Linked DNA regions of Canis lupus familiaris. The protein of the gene in region 2 interacts with the protein of the main gene of each other region in a pairwise test. Links are inferred from orthologs where the notes say so. Each region holds a gene or a part of one and is shown on either strand. Other genes may lie near its edges. The genes, in order: CDK18 and CCNK.

What was found.
Region 1: the proteins of CCNK (region 2) and CDK18 interact in binary tests that used the Homo sapiens proteins (3 or more experiments, as listed by UniProt). The two-hybrid records come from large-scale screens. The link is inferred for Canis lupus familiaris from reciprocal best matches to the Homo sapiens genes CCNK and CDK18.

What each region holds. Positions count from the first base shown.
Region 1 is NC_049259.1:2,576,681-2,580,494, forward strand, and holds part of CDK18 (cyclin-dependent kinase 18), read left to right. Parts: intron 1-920; 5' UTR 921-946; coding exon 947-1,070; intron 1,071-1,216; coding exon 1,217-1,356; intron 1,357-2,089; coding exon 2,090-2,215; intron 2,216-2,776; coding exon 2,777-2,833; intron 2,834-3,675; coding exon 3,676-3,790; intron 3,791-3,814. UniProt on the Homo sapiens protein: May play a role in signal transduction cascades in terminally differentiated cells.
Region 2 is NC_049229.1:68,322,564-68,326,377, reverse strand, and holds part of CCNK (cyclin-K), read right to left. Parts: intron 3,463-3,814; coding exon 3,381-3,462; intron 2,021-3,380; coding exon 1,889-2,020; intron 1-1,888. UniProt on the Homo sapiens protein: Regulatory subunit of cyclin-dependent kinases that mediates activation of target kinases.

The DNA.
Region 1 (3,814 bases), on a different chromosome or scaffold from region 2:
TGGCCAGCAGGGTATCCCCTCACTCAGAGGGCAAGGGGGCTGGGGGGCCTCAGGGAAGGAGCCCCTTCTGGCTAGGGAAGGGGCCTTGAGGGGACCAGAGTAGCCCACCCTTCTCCCTCACTGTGTACCCTGCCGACTGGACACCCTGCCCCATCAGGGCTCTGGCGTGAGAGGGGCTCGGCTTCCTGTCCCTGGGGCCCTCTTTTTCCAGCAAACTTCTGTGTTTCCCCTGAGACGAGCTCCCGACCTCCCATATTTCAGCTGGAGAGCTGGGGCTGGGCCAGCTCAGAGGCACACATCCCCTCCCTTTGTCCCCTCTCTTTTCCCGTCATCCAGGGACCTAGGGCCAGCCAGAGAGGGACCTCCAGGGGTCAGTATCAGGATGAAGTGGGGTTTGGACCAGATTACGTCAGAGGCTGTAGGCCAAGCTGATGCTCAGCTTCTGGGCGTCAATCAGTAAGGCTTACCGACTGTTGACATACTCAAGCTCTTACACACAAGTTAGTAAAGAGCTATTGGCCCAAGTTCTGGTCCACTCCCTGCCCCTCCAGGCCTCTTTTGAGAACTCTCTAGACCTCCAGCAGCTCACAGGTTACTGTCTAGTTTTGGTGAGGCCCTCAGGATGCTGCTGGCACATCATTATGAGCAGTACTTTGCTATACTGACCAATGCATAGTGTGACCACCTTCCCAGGGGCGGTGGAGGGGAGTGTCCGGGGGGAACGGGGTCCACAGGGAGGAGGAGGGCGAGGTCCTTGAACCTTGGTGAGGAAGATGCAACCCCAACTCCCGAATGCAGGGCCCCAGAGCTCAATGGGCAGTTGGGAGACCAAGACCTCGGAATTCTCGGAATTCTCGCATCCAGTGTGTGCTGGCCTGACGCCTCGTTCTCACCTGCTCTTCTCTGCTCCCCCGCCTCAGGCCCCACTGCCTGGCCCCTGCTGACCATGAACAAGATGAAGAACTTCAAGCGCCGCCTCTCCCTGTCAGTGCCTCGCACCGAGACTATCGAGGAGTCCTTGACTGAGTTCACAGAGCAGTTCAACCAGCTACACAATCGACGCAATGAGGGTGAGGGTTCCGGCTGCCCCCCGCACCCCTTTGGCCGCCCCCTGCCCCTCTGGGCCCCCCCCCCTGCCCTGCACAGGTCCCTGCCCCTTCCCTTCCCCCCCGGGGACAGAGGGGCTGGGTGGGCAGCTGACACCTGTCCCTCTCAGATCTGCAGCTCGGGCCTCTCAGCAGAGACCCCCAGCCAGAGACCAGCACCTTCTCCCCGACAGACAGCGGGGAGGACCCTGGGCAGCCGTCCCCTGGCATGCAGTACCGGCGGCAGAACCAGCGCCGCTTCTCCATGGAGGTGAGGGGCTCTGGGCTCTCCCCTGTGGGTGCAGCAGGACACGCCAGCCACGCGTGCCCAAGGAGGGCGGTGGCCTGCGAGCCAACTTCATGGGTTCAAATCCCAGCTCTGCTGTTGATCAGCTCTGTGACCTTGAGCAAGTTTCTCAACCTCCGCATACCAGTCTCGTTGTGTTAAAATGGTCATCATGAAGATTAAACAAGCTAATATACCCCAAGCGCATAGAGCAGTCCTGGTATAGCGAGGGCTGGACAATTTGACCACTGTTCTTTTTTTTTTTTTTAAACATTTTATTTATTTAATCATGAAAGACACACACAGAGACACAGGCAGAGGGAGAAGCAGGCTCCACGCAGGGAGCCCGACGTGGGACTCGATCCTGGGTCCTCAGCTAAACCGCTGAGCCACCCGGGCTGCCCTTGGCCACTGTTCTTATGGCTTGTAGGCATTGCCCATGTGTAAGAAAAATAGGCTCATGTCCGTAGGAATCTCATTCTATAGAGGGTTATACTGCAGCCCAGAGAGGGGAGGGGACCTCCTAAGGTCACACAGCAACTCCCGGGTGTTCACAGATGTCTCAGCATGTCTTTGAAGCAGCTGTGAGCCTAGGGTCTGGCCCTGCTAGGGTTGCTTCTATAGGGAATGCCAGCCCCAGGGTGAAAAGCAAGGGTCCTACAGCACCAGGTAACCCGGAGCAGACACTGGTGTCCCCGTCTCATCCCGGCTAATATAGGACATCAGTAAGAGGCTGTCTCTGCCTATGGACATCCGCCTACCCCAGGAATTCCTGCAGAAGCTACAGCTGGAGAGTCCAGACCTGCCCAAACCACTCAGCCGCATGTCCCGCCGAGCATCCCTGGTGAGTCCCAGGAGGGTCAGAGGTCACCAGGGTGGACCACCCTCTCTCCCCAGCATGGACACCTCAGTTTTGCCTGGTCCAGCTGAGGCCTGCAGCAGTTTGTGGGCCTCTGGTGCCACCTGCTGGCCTCAGCTGATTCACATGCTTGTGCTCCTTGGTCAACGTCCATTCCCTGGGTGAGCCCCCCCCCGCCCTCCCCAGGGCTGGAGCCCCACCGTGGTGAGACCCATAGAGCAGCTGGCATGTGCTTTCCGGTCGTGGCTGCTTATAATGTTTCCCTGGGAGCATCTTGCAGACATGGACTCTGGCTCCCACTCCAGATACCTACAGAATCAGAGTCCAGGTGGTGGGTCCCAGGAATCTGTATTGTTAAGGCTCGGGGACCACTTTTATCACGGGGTTAGGATTTGTGGCTGCCCTCATCCTTGCTAGCCTCTGTTGTTCCCTCCCCCTGACAGGGGGTCTCGTTCCCTTCCCTTCTGGAAGCTGATTGGGGGGTATCATGTATGTGGGGTTACTGGAGCCTTCCAGCTCATAGGACCCTATGTCTTTCCCTCTCAGTCAGATATTGGCTTTGGGAAACTGGAAACATACGTGAAGCTGGACAAACTGGGGGAGGTAAGAGACTGGGCAGGCCAGTTAGGAGCAGGGACAGACTCTCCCCCTGCACACCCTGTCCTGTCTTCTCATTGCCCCCGCCCCGTATAGGCATACCATCTTGGCTGTCCAATCTGGCCCAGCCTTTTGCAGGTGTTGAGGGGTCCCAGGTCCTCAAGAAGAAGGACATGAGGATGGAATGGGGCCCGTGGGCTCTGGGGCATAATCCAGTCTTTTTTTTTTTTTCTTTTTCTGCAAGTATTTCTCTGGATTCAAATCCCTACTTCACCATTTACTAGCACTGTGGCCTTGGGCAAGTTAGGTGACCTCTCTGTGCCTTAGTTTCTTCCTCTGTCAAATGGAGATGTAGTTGCTCTGCTTTCTGGAGTTGTCATGAGATCAGAATAGGTGACTATAATAACATTTATACATTTAGGCAGTGCCTGGCACATGGTAATAAACACTGTATGCCATTAGCGGTTTCTCTTACCACTGCACCCTGCTTCTGTGTTGGGGCCTTGTGGTGGGCAAAGGTTTATAGACAGGAGGAAGACACAGCCCTCTTCCCTCTAGGAAGCCAGGAAGGAGACCTACCTGTAAACACCAACATTGAGCAGAAACACAATGAGTGTTACAATAGAAGGGCACCTAGCCTGCTGGGGGCTCATGGGAAGGACAGTTCATTCTGAACAGGGAGGAGTGAAGGACAGAGTCACAGATGGGCCTTGGAGCAAACCCAGAATCTCCGTGAAAGGAGAAGAAGGGGGAAGGATACAGCCCAAGCAGAGGCCCAAGAGGAGGGCACTGGTTAGAGGAGCGTGGGCCCTGAGTGTGGCTGGTGCTGCTGGGGTTCTTGTCCCCAGGGTACCTATGCCACAGTCTTCAAAGGGCGCAGCAAACTGACGGAGAACCTGGTGGCCCTAAAGGAGATCCGGCTGGAGCATGAGGAGGGGGCGCCTTGCACTGCCATCCGAGAGGGTATAGCATCCCAGGGTCCTGCAC
Region 2 (3,814 bases):
ACAGTCTTCCAACCAAGTGCACCTACAGGTTTTGAGGCTGTGGCCCGTATAGTATTACAGGATAGCTCAAGGCCCAGCCTCCCTTTGTATTTCAAATATTCAAGTAATGGGGTAATTATAGGTCTGTGTGCAAGCATCATTCCTCAGGGAACCTTCCCTCAGCCCCACAACTCTTGTCTGGGGGACCTGTCCAGGTGCCCAGGCTGAATGCCCTCATTGCACCTTTAAATAATCTTTTTATAGCATTCATCACAGCTCATAATCAGATAGTTATAGGATTATTTGATTAAAATCTATCCCAACTCCACTATAAAATCCATGAGAATGGCAAAGGCCATGACTGTCCTGCCACCTGTTTTAGGTCTAGAGTCTCACATAGTGGTGGCTAGAGTATCTGTTGAACATACGAGTAATTAATGTAATGGGGCGGGGGGTGGGGTGGGGGGAGGCACACACAGTTAAAGCAAAGCTCATAAAGGCAAAAAAGTCCCACATGATTCATAATCTTTTTCCTAATTGCTTACAATGCCTCCCACAAATAACTGCCCTGCTCGCTGTCCTCTCTGGCAAGGGAAATGTCTTCCACAGTGACTTCACTGTGCTTTCCTTTGGCCCCTGTACTCCAGATTATTTCTAGGAAGACGCACATGATAGAAAGGAGGGGCAGGCTGGACCCTGCAGTAAAAGTCTGAATAGTATGCTCATTCCCCCCTTCCTATCATCTGGGGGCACTGGAGCTGCAGAACCTGTACCTCACTGTGCCCGACTGGGTCTCAGTTTCCTCATCTGAAGGTATAGTGGGTAAAGGTGTAAAGGTAAAAGGGGACTTCTCCAAAGGCACTCTAGGATAACACACACCCAAAGGCACTCTAGGATAACACACACCAGTGCAGTGCCACATGCCCATAACACATTCCTACAACTGTCTCCTACTATGTAAAAATCAGACACCCACAGGTATTCTATTAAATTGCATTCTGATCACCGTTAGCATGAATTCCTAATTGACTCACATTTTTAGAAACAGGTGAACGGATTTATAAATCAGTTTAAGAAACAGAGTTACCCATGTTGACAATACTTATAAAGTTAGTATTCATTGTAAATACAACATATACAAAAGCATTCTGGGCCTCTGTTACCTCCTTGAAGCATGAAGGAGAACGAACATGTTTTATTTACACACATAAACACTGCTTGGCAGACACAGGTGTCTACTGTGGCGGGCAGTAGCAGCGAGGGAGGAAAAGCAAGACTGTGGACAGTGCCGAACTCCCCTGCCCTCATTAGTTCTTCTCTACCTGTGCTTTTGAGTTTGTCATTCATTCAAGTAGCTGTTGAGTGCCTACTCCGCTCAGCCTCTGTACAAGGTGCCAGGGAAAAACAGACATGGTCTCTGCTCTCACAGATCTTGTAGTTGAGAAGACCAGAACTCTTTGTGTGATGATCTGATTAAAATCTATCTCACCACCAGCTGTGATCAATGTTGTGAAGCATGCAGGTGCCACAAGGATTACAATGGGGGTGGAACTTGACCCTGACAAGAGTCAGGGGTGGAGGAAAGCTGCCAGAAGCTGGCTGGAGCCGTGGCCCTGCCATCTCCGCTGAACTGCTTCTCAGTCTAGGAGTGCTAATGGTGAGGAGAGGATTTCTGCTCATAAACACTGTGCTAGGGCCCCTGAAAGTACTCAAAATGAGGGAGTGATATGCATTAGCAAGTGTATGCCACGTTACCTTCCTTCCTCTGACAGAAGCAAGTACAAGTACCTTCTGCACAGGACCTTCTTAGGGCTCAGGGGACTGGCAGACACGGAGGCCACACACAGAGCTTTAACACCATGCTACCACGAGGAATCAAGATTTGAAGGCAGGAAGTTAAGATTCTTACCTTTGGATCATCTCCAAACTGGCCAAATTGTACATCATTTAATAAACTACGAGCTGTTTTGATGATATCTTTACATTTTTTTGGCGTTTCTTCTACTTTCCCAGCCAGAAAGAGACAACAAGCTCCCGTCACCTAAAAGGGAGACAAAATTTCTTGAGATACTGTTAACAAAACTCATGGAGAAACAGAAGCAAGGATTTTGGGTCTTCCCAATTTGGCTTCATAAATTATTTAAAATTTAATTTTCTAAAGAAAATGTCATGTGAAAAAAGTAGATGCCAGAAAGGAAAAGAATCATAGGAACACATTTTCTTTTTACATTGCAAACTTAATAATGGCTCCTTGAACAGTGAGCTTTGCTGCAGAAAAAGAGCACAATTAGGTGCCCGTCCTGTAGACTCCATCTCCTACACCTTCTCCCACTGGTGCAGCTGTCTGGACCCACATGCAGTGCCTATATCACTGGCCTTCTCACTGCTTGGCCTCTGCCCGCCTCCCTGGCACAGCCCTCTCTCCATGGGACCCCAAGGGCAGTAGGCATCAGACAGGGCACCAAGCTGATTCTGCCACGGGCTTCTTCCTCTAGAACTTCACAAATCAGTATGTAAGACATGTGTACAACACTAAGTAAATCTTAAACAAGAGGAAGGATCCCCAACAGGTGAATTTCCTAGTAAGTCTCCTGTCATCCTCCTTATGAAACCCTTGGACAACTTCACAATCTACCTACTAACGTCAGATTTCCCTGATCCAGCATTCAAGGCTCACCATGGGCCCATCCAGCTTACTTTTCCACCATTCCTGCCACATGGACTCCCTGGTTGGGCTGACTCTGAATAGTGCGCTTCCATGTGTCTCTGCTCACACCAGCTTCTGTCGGACTAACTGCTCTGCCTCATTGCAGCATGTCTAAGCCCTGCTTGCAGCCAAGGCTTAGCTGCCTGCTGGCAACTCCTCGGGGCATTTTCCCTGATCCCTTTAGGAGGTATTACTCTACCCTCTGAATGCTCCAGCCTTCTTTCCTTACCTCTCTTACGGCTTCACTGACCATGTGCTCTGTACGTGTCATCCCCTCTATCCTGGCTACTCAAGGCACGTTCCCTGACTGACTCTCCCAAAGAGTGTAAGACATACGGCATGTTTAAGGAGTAACTGAAGAATAAGTAATTTGGCGTAAAGAACTTCTCTTCCATTTTGGTTGGCCTTTTTTTGGGTCTCAATTACAAGCCCAAATTTATCATGTGAAAGGTAAGGAAGTAAATTCCACACAGTGCAATATGATTATGATCATCCACAGTGGCCTAAATAAAAAAAGACTTGAATATAGTTAATTGGAAAAAACAAAAATTCAAACTTGACTGCTTATAGATAGCCATGTATTATTATAAATATACTTTCTGGAAAACAGAATAAAGAGAGACTATAATCAGTCCACTAAACTGTGAAAACAACAACATGTGATAGAGAATTAGAACAAAATTCAAATACTTACATATCTTGGGAATTGCTTGAAGGAATGAAACATGTAGAAGCGATGAAAATAAATTATTCCAGTTGCTAGGGTATCATAGTGTCTGTTGTTCTGGTTAAGGACTTTACTGAGAATTGTTACAGGTTATGCCATTAGTTAAATGAGGAAAAATAAAGACAAACAATAACAACAAAATCAGTGATAAACACTATCAGTAATTAAGAGGGGAGGGGATCTCAGGGTATCAGAACTCAGACATGAGAATTAGCAAATTGAAGTTTACACTTGTAACAAGGCAGGGCTCTACCACTCTTTAGACACACTTCAACTATGATCACCAAATACTTGTTTTCCTCCTGATGGTCACTCACTCAACGGCTAACTCTACACATTTAAATGAAAACAGAAACAAACAGAAAACCTCTGAAGAGCCAAACAAATAAACAACATTTAAA